Coturnix japonica: one gene and its partners. The protein of the gene in region 1 interacts with the protein of each later gene in a pairwise test. Links are inferred from orthologs where the notes say so. Each region holds a gene or a part of one and is shown in the gene's direction. Other genes may lie near its edges.

Region 1 (4,109 bases):
CCTTGAGGACTATGTGAAGGTGGTGGAGAATCAGGTCCCCCTCTACAAGTTTATGTTCCCAGTTGACCTGGAGAAGCCGACGCTGGCTTTCATTGGCTACATCCAGCCTCTGGGAGCCATCATGCCCATCTCGGAGATGCAGAGCCGCTGGGCCACCCGTGTCTTTAAGGGTAAGCGAGGCGAGCCGGGAATGCACTTCTCTGGGTATGGCAAGGCCAAATTATTCAGTTGCTGGCATGTGCTCCTCCTTTTATCATCCTTCTATGAAGGGATATAAAACATCACTGCATTTTGCAACAAGTGTTGCACTTTATTTCATCACATACAGCTGGTAATGGATCTCCTCACCTGCAAACCATTTTCTCTCTCTTATTTCTTTGCCCATGCCTCTCTCTTGCCCCATTTGGTGGCCCAAAGGCTTTTCCTGTGGCACAGCAGCCACGCTGGGCGCAGAGGGACACAACTGCTGATAGCACAGCTCTCTGCTTCTCCTTCTGTAGGTCTGCACAAGCTGCCCCCAACCAGCACCATGTTGGCTGACATCACACAAGCCAAGGAGAAAATAGCCAAGCGGTAAGAACCCTGCGGGGCACCAACCTGCCACCACCTCCTCGATGAGCACACACAGAGCCTGTCCCTGCCCACAGGTACGTGGCCAGCCGGCGGCACACCATCCAGGTGGATTACATCCCCTACATGGACGAGCTCGCCTGCCAGCTGGGCGTCAAGCCCAACGTGCCGCTGCTTTTCCTCACTGACCCCAGGCTGGCGCTGGAGGTGCTGCTGGGGCCCTGCACGCCCTACCAGTACCGCCTGCATGGCCCCGGCGCATGGCAGGGTGCGCGGGAGGCCATCCTGACTCAGCAGCAGCGCGTGGAGCACCCGCTGCGGGGCAGGGCCGGGCACGGCCGCTCTGTGCCGCCCTGCAGCTCGGTGCCACACAGCTTCAAGGTCCTCTTCAGCCTCGGACTCATCGTGGCCACGCTCATCTACGTCTCGCTGTCCCCATAGCCCCTAGTGAAGAGGGCTTTGGCCATCCCCTAACTCTGCCTTGGGTTTCGGTGTCGCTGGGAGGGGCACGGGGCACGTTTTCCTCATGAGAAAGGCAATAAAGCTCGTCCTTGTTCTCCATGAAGGCTCAGGCTCTGGGCTGCGCTCATTAACGCCCGCACTGCACAACGCAAACTACTCGCACCAGGCCGCGCTCCCACAGCAAAGATGGCCGCTCTCCCGGAAGCCACACCGCCCTCAAACAAAATGGCTGCCCGGTACCATAGAGAGCAGCGCGGGGGCGGGACAGAGCGCCCCGCAGAGGCTGGCGGTGGAGGCGGCCGCCATTTTGATCGGAGGCGGAGAGCGGGGCGGCGGCGGCGGCGGCGGGCAGGTGGGGCTGCGAGCGGGGCTGCCATGGGGGGCTGCGCTGCCCCCGTGTGCTGTGGGGCCGGGTTGGGTGCTGGGTGTCACGGCGGGGCGGGGGGCCCGGAGCGGACAGGAGGCGGCAGGGGGTGGGGCTGTCAGGGCGGCGGTGCGGGGGGTGACGCTGTGGGCGGTGGTGCGGGTGTCGGTGCCGTTGGTACCGTAACGCCGCGCCCGGTGACACCGCTATGGCCGGCACTGTGCCGGGCGGTGCTGCAGCGGCCCTGCACATCTCATCGTTGCCGTGGGGTGAGCCGTGGGCTCGCTGCCCTCTGAGGGCTTAAGGAATACTCGAGTAATTGCCCCGTAATGGTTTAAAGCCAGGCTTTGGCTGGCGGCCTCACCCGGCCCTCCGCACATAGCTTGATGTTCTAAGCAAATCCGCAGCTGTCACAACGCACCCAGTGAATCAAGGCTGGCTCCCTGCAGAACACAGCCGGCTGCCCCAGCGATGGGCTCAGCCCATGTATCGCCCGGCGCTGGGCAGACACGCAGCCCTGGGGTCGGCTATGAGCGCAGCCTGCTCAGCAGCACAGCCTGCACACACCGTGTTGTTACTCCTTGCCCTGGCCGCACTCCAGCCTGGCCGATTCCACTCCTGCTACTTGCAGCACTGTTGCTGTGCCAGCCGTGAAGCCGTGCTGCTCTGCCCGCAGGCTCACCCACACTCGTTGGGAGCTGTTAACAGCTGCTACTTTCACTCTCCGGCTGTTTTCCTGCTGGCTGTAGCGTTGTGTTCTGTGCAGGCTGACTGTGGGGTTGTGAAAGAGGCTCTGTTAGTGCCGGGAGACAATCTGCCACTCAAGGGTGGCTTTATTTCTCTCATCAGCCCTTCTACTTGTGTAGGATGTGGTCTAACTCACTTTTGTTTTAGGGTATAACAATTACCGGCTTAACTATCACGATGGCTCATAAGGGTATGCCTATAATTAGTTCAGCCTGTCTCGCTTGTTAAATTCCCCTTCGGCTCCCAAACTTGGCATCGGGGAAGAACTTTGGGCCTTTTTTAGGATTGCTGTCACTCTGTGCTGGCAAAAGGCAGCGGGAAGCAGCACCCTGCTCCCTGCTGGAGCCCACGGACATAGGCAACACTGCCTTCTTCCCCCTCTCACAGCGGCTGCTGAGCTGTCATGGGAAACACCACCAGCGAGCGAGTGTCCGGTGAGCGCCATGGCTCCAAGTCCCACCGCTCCGACGGCTCCGGCGCTGCCCATCCCACAAAGGAGCACCCACACAAGATCATGGTGGGCAGCACAGATGACCCCAGTGTTTTCAGCTCCCACGACTCCAAGGTAGGGGGCTGGCTGCTGCCTTTGTTGTCCTCACGTCGGGTGCTGGGTGGTGTCCCATAGGGGGCTGTGCTGGGCTGAGGCTGCTTTCAAGGAGAGGATTTTTGGTTGGGAGCAGCCCTCTGTTTAATTCAAGCTAAATACAGGCAGGGTGGCAGTGTGCCGGGGTACAGCTTTCATAGCAGGAACCACAAGCTGAGCTGCAACACAGGAGAAACATCTCCTGGGATGGATGGGTGGAGCTGCCTGCCCAGCCTGAGGTTACTATTGTCTGCAATGTGCAAATGGAGGTGGAGGGAAATGAAACGGCTCTGGTGTTCTCTGCTCAGATTCCAGGGGACAAGGAGTTTGTTTCATGGCAGCCTGACCTGGAGGAGTCAGTGAAGCCATCCCAGCAGGCTCGGCCCACTGTCATCCGCTGGGCTGATGGAGGCAAAGAGGTCTTCATCTCTGGATCCTTCAACAACTGGAGCACCAAGATCCCGCTCATCAAGAGGTAGCTATACCCCTTGGCTCACCCCGTGTTCTCCTCCATCAGTCGCAGGGAGCGTTTTTCTCAGTGCCATTTGCTGTTCCCTTTGCCCAACCTGGCTTCTCACAGTTCATCATGCCCGAGCTCGAGGTGTGAGCACAAATATGCAGCCAGCATCCTGCCTGGGGGCTGCTGCAGTGGTAGGGAGAAACTGTGAAATGGGACAGGACAGGATGGGCCTCCTTGCTTTCCCAATTACATGCCACACAGCAGCCATCCTGGCAGCAGGGCCCTGCCCAGGTGTGCTGCAGCTCTCTGAAGCTTGGTGGCCCTTCTCCTTGCCTGCTTGTGTTGCTGCTAGAGGGAGTTGTTTGGTTGTCCCTCACCTGTCCTCCTTCCATAGCAGTGTCCTCGTTGTTCTGCAGTACACCTGTGTTTTCTGTGGAAACACTATGTAGGACTGGGCATAATCCCAGCAAATACCTGCCACGGGATTATCTCGACTGCAGACTTCACAGGCACTTCATGCTTTCATCCTGCAGTACCAGCACAGGTTTAGATTCGTTGTTCACTCGCCCTGTCCAGTGTGTCTTGCACTTGCCATCATGTGATCCCACACGATGTGTGGGGCAGGGCTGCAAGCTGAGCTCCTGTTTGCCTTGTGTCCTGATTGGAACAGATGATCTTAGTGTTTTTTTCCAACCCTAATGAGTCTACGATTCTATGGGCCCTGAGGGATCTGAATCATCCTGGGGCTCTGGGCACTCGCACCTGCTCTGGCCATGCCTTGAGTGATGAGCAATCCTAACCCAGCACATGGGTGTTTGGGTCGAGGGGGCAGGCAGTGCATGACAAAGTGCTCTTCTCTGGGACAGCATCCAAAGCATCACTGCAGTAATGGTGTTGTACATCTGTTCTCTCTGCACAGCCAC
Region 2 (4,300 bases), on another chromosome or scaffold:
CTGTACTTTAGAACTGGCATTTAAACTTCTGATTTCTCTGTAAAACACAGTATGGTGGATTTTCTAATTTATACACTATTTCTGTGCTTGGTTTATATCCTGAAAAAAAATCAAGCAGGCTTTCCCTCGTCCATAAGCTTCTACATGTTGTCCATTACCTATTTTTGCCTTTACTAAGCTTCACAGTGAAGTGAAATCAACATCATTCTTCTCCCGTTCCTATGCTAACCCGCGCTCATCCCTCCCGGATGAATCCCATGGATTTCCCGGCGCAGCCTGAACGTAGCACACAGTTCTGAGGATGCCCAGGTTCATACTCAGCAAATCCCACTCATCACTGGTGACCCCGTGGATCTACTAGGGCCGCATGAAGGGATGAACGCAGAGCTGTGGTCGTCCCATAGAGAAACTATGAGAAATAACTCTCAGCTTCATAATGTTAGTACATAGTACTACATAGCCTTCTCCGCCCCCTCCTCATCCTCCCACCCCATTTTTATTAACAGTGACCCCTCTCTCAAGCAGCGATGACAGCAGGTGGAGAAGAGGAAGCGCTGCCAACTGCCTCCCAGCATTAAGAAGAGCTCTCAGGGCTTTCGCCCCGAGAATTTGCTCATGTAAATAACGCGCCACATCGCTGCTCGGCACGCCGGGTATATTTTAAGCAGGGCCACACGTGATAGGGGTGTACGAGCGCTCTGTGCATGCCGACGTGGATACGCCGCTGTGCGCGCTTTAAAGACCCGCTGGCGGCGCGGGGTGCCCAGGCCTGACGGCACTGCAGCCCGTGCAGAGATGACCGGCTGCTCCCATATCAAGGGAACCTCTCTCACAAACAGCCATTTCTATCAGCTGCCCGTGGGCCGCGTCCCGTACACGAGTGGGAATCCATTACAATGGAAGTTTCATAAAAGCGAGCGAAATTACAAATGAACGACGCTGAGAAACACCCCCCGGGGGGCTCTTGGAGACCCCGCTGTGCCCCTGCCGCCGCCCGCCCCGCGCTGCCCCGCGGGCCCCGCTCCGCGCCGCCGTGCCGCCTCCTCGCGTTAATCCGCGGCACAATGCCGCGGGCAATAAGCGGCCCTTCCTGCTGCCGGCTGGGGGGGTAGGGAGCAGAGAGTTTAAACTTTTTATTCCATAGAGGGGGATTAAAAAAAAAAAAAACAAAAAAAAAAACAGAAAGAAAGAAAATAAAAAGAAAGGGAAAAAAAAAGAAAACATGGCTGGGGGAGGGGAAGCACCTGGGAATGGGTCTCCCGCTCCCCCCAGGGAAAGCAGCTCCCCTCGACCGCCCTGTAGCCCGATCGCTGCTGGCCCCTGGATAAACACGCGAGCACAAAAGCAGCCCCGAGCGCCGTGTGACCGCGCACGGAGCTGCCTCCTGCGAGAACAGGCTGCGGCCGGGCCCGGAGAGGGGCGCGGGGCTCCGCACGGCGCCGGGGCCCGACGGGAGCGGGGCCGGGGCCGGGAGCGGGGCCGCGATTGTGGTGGAAGCGGCGGTAGCGCTGCCCTTTTGAATGCCTCCCGCAGCTCGGAGTGCTGGCAGGGCGCTGGGAGCGCCAGTGAATGTAGCCCCGCAGAGCCAATGAGCTGGGACCGGATGCGATATATCCTCTGGGACAACAACTGCTCTGTTCCTCCTCAGATCCACATGACGCCATTTACTGCTGCTTTTGCAGAGAGATCACCCTACCTCCTCCGGAAAGAAAAAGAGAGAGAGGGAGAGAGAGAGCGAGCAGAAAAACGCCGAGCCCCTCCAGCTCAGATCTCAAACCTTCCTCCTCCTCCACCTCCTCCAAACACACAACAACAACCACCACCACAAATCCGCTGCGCTCCCCAAACACCCCCCCCACCCCCCCGCTCGCAAACCGCAGAGCCGCCTGCAACACACTCACACACACACACACACACACACACACGCTCGCAGAGGGAGCGAGAAAGCCGAGGGAGAGAGGGAGAGGAGCGTGCGGCGAGCGGCGTTCGGCAGCGCGGCCCCCCCCCCCCCCGCCCGGCTGCTGCTGCTGTTGCTTCCTCGGATGAGTTCGCTGGAAGAAAGCTTTGCCATCGGATTTTAGATCCACTTGATTTTGTTTTCTGTGGCTTTCTCCTTCCTCTCGATCCTTTGCAACGGCAGCAAGAAAAAAAAAAAAAAAAAAAAGGGGAAAAAAAAAAAAAAGAAAGGTGACTCGGTGCTGGCGGTTCGGCCTCCTGTTCATTGAGGGAGAAAAAAAGGAAAGTGTGTGAGAAGTGAGTTCTTTGGAGGAGAACAGAAAACCCACCCAGATCCGGAGAGGTGTTCTGATTATTACTATAGCACATAGGCGCACACACGTTCTTACAGTCGAGCTGGGCAGAGGGGAGGACTGACTTTACTCCGGACTTTTTTTTTTGCAAGCCGATCGTTCTGATTCTCATTTGCAAGTTGGACGAAAGCAGAGTTTGGAAAAGAATTTTTTTTTTTTTTTTTTTTTTTTTGCTTTAGGGCTGGATTTATTTGCAAACCGCAGGAAGAAGAAAATACAACAGAGAGAGGGGTTTGGTGCAGCGCCGCGATCACGGTGAGAGCCTTTTCCTTCTTTGCAAAACAAGCTTTTCAGTAACCCCCGCAACCCCCCCCCCCCCTCTTTTCCCCCTCGTATCCCCCCCCCTCTCCTCCCTCAGCGCTGCTCCAAGAAAACTCGTGGAAATGTTTGAGGCCGATCCTTTTTCCACTCGCACAGGTTCTCCCTCTCCCCCTTTCCCCTCTCCTTCCTTTCCCAGAGAAGAGCCGGAGGTGGGATTTCGGAGCTCTTTTTCTCTCCGGGGAGGGTTTTGCGGGCTGCGCTTTATTTGCGCCTCGTCGCGGTGCTCCGGGGGGCGCGAGGCTGCGCGGGGGCGGAAGGCTGCGCGAACGTACACGCGTGCCCGGGGGGCTGCGGGGAGGCGGGGGCCGCGTATTCCCGGCTGCGGGGAGCCGGGCACGGGCGGTGCTGCCCCGGGGGAGGCGCAGGGAGGGCGCTGCGAGGCCGCCGGTACCCCCGGCCCGGGGGAGCGCCGTGATTGACGCCCGTGTGTGGTGGCGTCGGGAAGATCCGTGCCATTCGGAAGTGAGTGCACGGCTGGTGTGTAAATACATCTGTGCGGCTGCGGGTGCGTGCGTATTTCTCGTGCGGTGAAACTTAATTCGATTCATGAGACGGGGAAACTTCACTCCCAGGTTCTACTTTGCAGAGTGTGTGTGTGGAGGGGAAGAAGGACTTTTTTTGTGGGGGTTTACTGTGTAACAGGCCCCCATCCCCCCACCCCCCTCCCCGATATATATATTTATCTGCTGGTGTTCTCAGCATGTTACTTGTATGTCAGCTTGCCCAACCTTGATGTAAAGTCGCTTTTGCCCTAATCCAGAGTCTGATGGCACACTCTGCTCTTAATGTGGGTTTCAAAGCACTGTGAAAGCAGAGACGGTGACGGGGGTGTTTGCGGGGCGGTGGGGGTGGGGGTACTGCGCGGCTCCGGACACAGCACAGTAAGTCCCGGGCAGGGACCTCTTCCCCCGAGGCCCCCTCCGCGATGCGGGGATTTTCCACACGCAGCACGCAGAAGCCCCTTGAGTTTGCCACTTCCTCGGACGTGCGAAGACGAAAGTTGCCTCCCCCCCACCCCCCCGGCTCGCCCTCCTGCCAATCCCAGCCAGGAGTAGGCAGCGGTCGTGGCACTTGAGCTGTGCGAGAGTGGACTTTGGCTTCTGGAAGTGGGGAACGGTGTTATCGCCCACATGCACACACAGGAAGGCCAAGCGCTGGAAGGGTGCTGGGTCATAGGGAGAGTCGTGCTTTCTCTCAGAGCTTTCGGGCATGGCTGCAAATAAAGGTGCTGGAGGTTTACATCCTGTCCCGTTAGGGTCTGTCAGGGGGAATAAGGAAACATGGCCCGGCTCGGGTTGACAGTGCCTCCTGGGCAGGGGCGGGAGGCTCAAGTTCGGGCAGTTCTCTTCTCTGGCGGCTGAATGAGCGCTCAGGGCAAGGCGAGGGGGGGCAATTTGCCTCCTGCCCGGCTGTCCCGGAGGTTCTGTCTCCAAGCGTCTGCGGGGCGCCGCTCACTGCCCGGCCGGGAAAGGCTTCCTGAGCATCTCCCGGGGGAGGGCAGGGGGGAAGAGTTAAAAGGAAACATGGGTTTGACTTTCCTGATAAGGCGACTGCGGCCGCCCCCTCCCACCTCCCGGCCCGGGGATGTCTCCTGTTAATCTCCAGGTTGTCTGCACTCGCGGGGCCGCCGCCTGAAGCCACGGGGCTCCGCGTCCCACCTGCTGCGCTCC
Region 3 (4,290 bases), about 17 Mb from region 1:
AGGCCTGGGAAATTTTCTGGCCCAGGGAAATGGTGAGAATGGAGAACATGGGGTGGGGTACTCACTGGTTCATTGTCAGCAGCGAGACAAACCAGCCTTTGCAGTATCCTAGTTACCACCTGTAGTTTATGAAGGCTGAAGAAATATAGACATTATTTTTTCCAGAGCTTGAATCTAGATGTCCCTCGATGGCTTTTGACTGCTGGCACAAAGCAAGGAACAATATCCATGTTCCAACAGGACTTCTAACCCCATCACAAAGCCCCCTTGGTGCACTATTTTAGACAGATATTTCAGTCACTGGCACAGGAATGTGGCCGAGTTTGAAAACTTGTGACCGTGGATGTGGTATAGAAATATGTCGAGAATGAAGAGAAAAATAACCAGAGCAGTATGAACTGAAGAAAGAATCAACAAGGCTGCAGAAGCCAGGGAAAAACACAATGAAGAGGAGGTAACAGACCCTACAGAAAAATCCAGCTGTGTAGAACCATGTGAGTCTTGTTATGAGGTGTTGCACTGGAGGAGAAAATGCACATAGCAGATAGGAAGACAGAGAGTAAAGTAATATTGAAATAACACCACTTTAGGTGGAGAAAGATGCAGTTTCACTTGCCTTGATTTTCAGGCTTGGAGCATTTCACTAACAGGTCACTGGTCTCTGTGGCAACATTAATTTATTAGCTGTAAGCAAGCAAACACATAAATGTTTATGTAGTCATAAACAGTCTTGCCCATTTCCACTGCTCAGCATTGCACACACACTTCCCATTTCAGTTGGCCGCTCAGTTTGGTGTGTGCTCACCCCTCGTGTCTGTCTGTGTATGTAAATACAAGTGACTCAAGGATCTGTGCTTGCACTTGTGACACCGCCTGTCCCGTGCTTAACCTCGCAGAGGACATCACACAGAATCACAGAATTGTAGGACATGTGATGAAGGTTTTGTCTCAAGCTCGTGTTAGTGAGACACAGTCAGACCCAGCACCCCGTGTCTTGGGGGAAACACACACATAATTAACTTCTCTGCACCGCAGAACTCACTGCTGTATTTGCCACATGGTGGGTGTCACCCAGCGGGCCTGCAGCGCACGTAGGAGCCCTCCCGTCCCCAAGAAGCCTGAGTGTATTTGCCATATGGTCGCACTCACCTGCTAGGGCGAGAGACAGACGGGCAACACACACACTCATAATGAAGCCCCCCACTGGGCTGCCCTAAAAAATGAGGGGGAAAAAGCGGCTCCCTAATAACAGCTCCGTAATGTGTGGGCTTTGCGGTAGGGCGGGACGGTAGCGCACCTGCAACCCAGCGATGGCAGCTCAGCCATTGCCGCTCCAGGGCTGGCTTTTCGAGTGCGGGGGGCAGTGACAGCGCAGCATCCCTCCACCTCTTCTCCCCTCCCTTCCGTTCCCGTCTCTCCACGGCGGCTGCGCTCGGGCTGAGGGGGAGCGCGGGGCTCCCCCGGCGGTGACGTGCGTTGCCATGGCGAAGCTCAGGCAGCGTCTCGCTCCGTGGTGGGGGGGGGGGGGCTGAGGGGATGACAACAAATATGGCGGAGAGGAGCAGGACGGCAGAGACGGGTCAGTGCAGCCGCAGGCGCCTGGGCGGGGGGAGGGGGGAAGAGATCCCCGTCTCCAGGGGATGAAGGAGAGGGGCTTCAAGCAGGGAGGAAGCCTTACTTCCAGCAGCCTTAAAGCTGGAGTGCGGGTAACGCAGCTCATCTCGCCGGGGAAAGGGAGGGAAGCTCTGAGGTGCAGAGGGGGCCCGGAGCAGGGAGAGAGCCCACAGCACGGGGAGCTGAGAGGAGGGGAGAATCCCATTCCAGGGGCGACGTGGCCGTGGGGCAGGGAAAAAGGGCCGCGGGTTGGCTCAGGACCCGGCGGGAACAGCTCTGGCTGCGGGGCTTTGAGGGGCAGCCAGCGCCGCGAGAGGGGACGGAGCGGTGTGGTGAGGAGCAGAGCAAAGACTGTGCCCTCACACGAGAAACCTTCCCCTGCCTTACCTAGAGTGTAAAATAAATAATACGCGAAGGCTGAATGTTGGAACTGAAGCCGCTCCGCCGTGCTGCTGGCTCCGGGCTGACCTGCAGGTGCTGCCTGCCCTGTCTTTGGGTCTGTAAGGAGCGCTGCACTTATGGCATGTGAGCCGAGGGGTGAAGTGGGATTGTCTCATTATGCCCCTGCTGGCAATAGCTCTGGCTGTGTGTGTGAAGATAAGTTTGTGGATGGAACTCAAGTTCTGGGCTTCTTCAGGTGCGGTATGGATTGTCTAGGTAGAGGGGTCTCTCCTATTGTAACAGAACACAATGAAGGCCTTTACCACCTCACAAAAGCTCCCAAACTAACTTAGGAAAATCTATCAACATTGTGAGGATGAAACAAAGGTGATGACGGCTTTTCTGAGTGTTTAATACCCCCACAGCATCATACACGTGAATTTCCTAGATTCCTGGACCAAAAGCTCATTTTCATTGCCTGCTGTGCTGCTGTGCATGTGCTTTTATCCCCCAGAAGTGGCTCCATGTGTATGGAAGATGCACTATCCATAGAACTGACATTGGATTTTTGGACCACTCGAGGTGAAATAAAGTGAAAAATATGTGAAATACTCTTGTCCTCTGAAAAACAATACTACAAAGGCTGTGTCTGAATAGGTTGGCCTAAGGTTCTTGAACTCCCAGTCTGTTTCAAGCCTACTCTTTACGAAGCCCTGAAACAGCATTGAGAAGTTTCTTATACATTAAGCTTTCCATGGAGCAGGTGATTTGTTTCATCTGCTGTACAACACTGTACTAAACACAGCTGATCTGCTTTGACTGCGCCGTGTAATGGAACACATCTCCAGTGGCCGTTTGACTTTGTCAGCTCTTCAGCAAACTTCATCCACCTATGCCTATGTGCTTGCCAGGAATGTTCTATATAACATGGTAGAACTTGCTCACTATTTCTGGATTATTGCATAAAGTTACTTTTACATTGAGTTTCCTGCTATATTCTTTAAATCTGTATCTTTACAATATTTGGTTTCTGTTTTTAACTCTGTCATGCCCATTCCAACTGGGTAATCCATCATTTTCTTGTACATGCACCCGTTCCATGAGCTTGTGGTGAAATCAAGTTTTGTTGCATGTTCTTGATACATGTTCATCTCAGTTTTTCAGTGCCTCTCTGACTGTTTTGAAGCTCTAATTTGCAGCCCCCTCCCTGTCTGGATTACTGGCTGAGTAACTTCAATGCAAAAAGCTACAAAAATAGGAAAAAAGTCCTGACAATTTAATGGGACTTGAGGAAACTGAATGAAAGAAAGTAGTGGTCTTGGCCCATTTATTTAGAGAGGGCATAGAAAGTAGGCTCTGGAAGAAGCGTCTGTCTCCCACTGCACTTAGTTTAGGTTTTCAACACTGATGTCATATATTGTAGGTAGGGAATATTCTTGTTCATGTCACATCCTACTTCCTATGTCATCACGCTCTGTCAGATTTGGGCCATTCTTGAGGAGATGTGAGTCCAGCTCTGAGTCCTGCATTTCACACACGTTTAATTTTTTTCTGTGTGGTTGGACTGGATGATCTTTGAAGTCTTTTCCAACCTTGGTGATTCTATGATTCTATGATTCTATGATTCTTTGATTCTATTGTTTGCAGGGAGAACAAAGCTATGAAAGAACAACCTTGTTCAAACTACTTGAGTTGATTTAGCCACTGTGGCTCTGTTGCACTTGCTGTTACATTTTATTTTTTTTTTGGCAAATGTTTCTGTTCCTGAGTCAGAAGACACAAATAATAGCTCTCCTATCTTTTCTTCTTGAAGTATTGTTATTTCTTATTTTCAAACGAGAAAACAGCACTACAGGAACTCTGAAGGTAACTTACCTATGCTTTACGGCAACACAGATCACTCTGTGTTATGGAGTTCATTATATTCTTGTTTGCTTACATGCACCTGAGGTGTTTTCAACCTAAGTTTAGTTTTGAAAGTACGCTGTGTCAAGAGGTTCTGTATATCAATTATACTTTACGGAAAACATACCTTTTGGTCATGTAAGAGTTTGTATTTCAGTTTTATTAGTATTTCCTTATTTGTTTCTCACAGGAAATTAAAAGTTAATTGTTCATACACTGCTCATTGTAGTTATTGTTTCTTTATAAAATCTTTCAATATTTTAATTCCTTCCTTCCTTCCTTCCTTCCTTCCTTCCTTCCTTCCTTCCTTCCTTCCTTCCTTCCTTCCTTCCTTCCTTCCTTCCTTCCTTCCTTCATTCCTTGCCTTCCTTTCCTTCCTTCCTTCCTTCC

What was found. The genes of interacting proteins can lie anywhere in the genome.
Region 2: the proteins of PRKAB2 (region 1) and SPRY2 interact in binary tests that used the Homo sapiens proteins (3 or more experiments, as listed by UniProt). The link is inferred for Coturnix japonica from reciprocal best matches to the Homo sapiens genes PRKAB2 and SPRY2.
Region 3: the proteins of PRKAB2 (region 1) and BEN domain-containing protein 5-like interact in binary tests that used the Homo sapiens proteins (3 or more experiments, as listed by UniProt). The link is inferred for Coturnix japonica from reciprocal best matches to the Homo sapiens genes PRKAB2 and BEND5.

What each region holds. Positions count from the first base shown.
Region 1 is NC_029523.1:4,168,125-4,172,233, reverse strand, and holds the start of PRKAB2 (5'-AMP-activated protein kinase subunit beta-2), read left to right. Parts: upstream 1-1,309; 5' UTR 1,310-1,384; intron 1,385-1,891; exon of another isoform or gene 1,892-2,530; 5' UTR 2,531-2,546; coding exon 2,547-2,708; intron 2,709-3,034; coding exon 3,035-3,201; intron 3,202-4,105; coding exon 4,106-4,109. Other genes in the region: dimethylaniline monooxygenase [N-oxide-forming] 5-like, read left to right, coding at 1-170, 501-573, 648-1,011. UniProt on the Homo sapiens protein: Non-catalytic subunit of AMP-activated protein kinase (AMPK), an energy sensor protein kinase that plays a key role in regulating cellular energy metabolism.
Region 2 is NC_029516.1:136,861,073-136,865,372, forward strand, and holds the start of SPRY2 (protein sprouty homolog 2), read left to right. Parts: upstream 1-1,500; 5' UTR 1,501-2,253; intron 2,254-2,488; 5' UTR 2,489-2,564; intron 2,565-2,683; exon of another isoform or gene 2,684-2,779; intron 2,780-3,868; exon of another isoform or gene 3,869-4,300.
Region 3 is NC_029523.1:20,985,405-20,989,694, reverse strand, and holds the start of BEN domain-containing protein 5-like, read left to right. Parts: upstream 1-1,490; 5' UTR 1,491-1,536; coding exon 1,537-1,579; intron 1,580-4,290. UniProt on the Homo sapiens protein: Acts as a transcriptional repressor.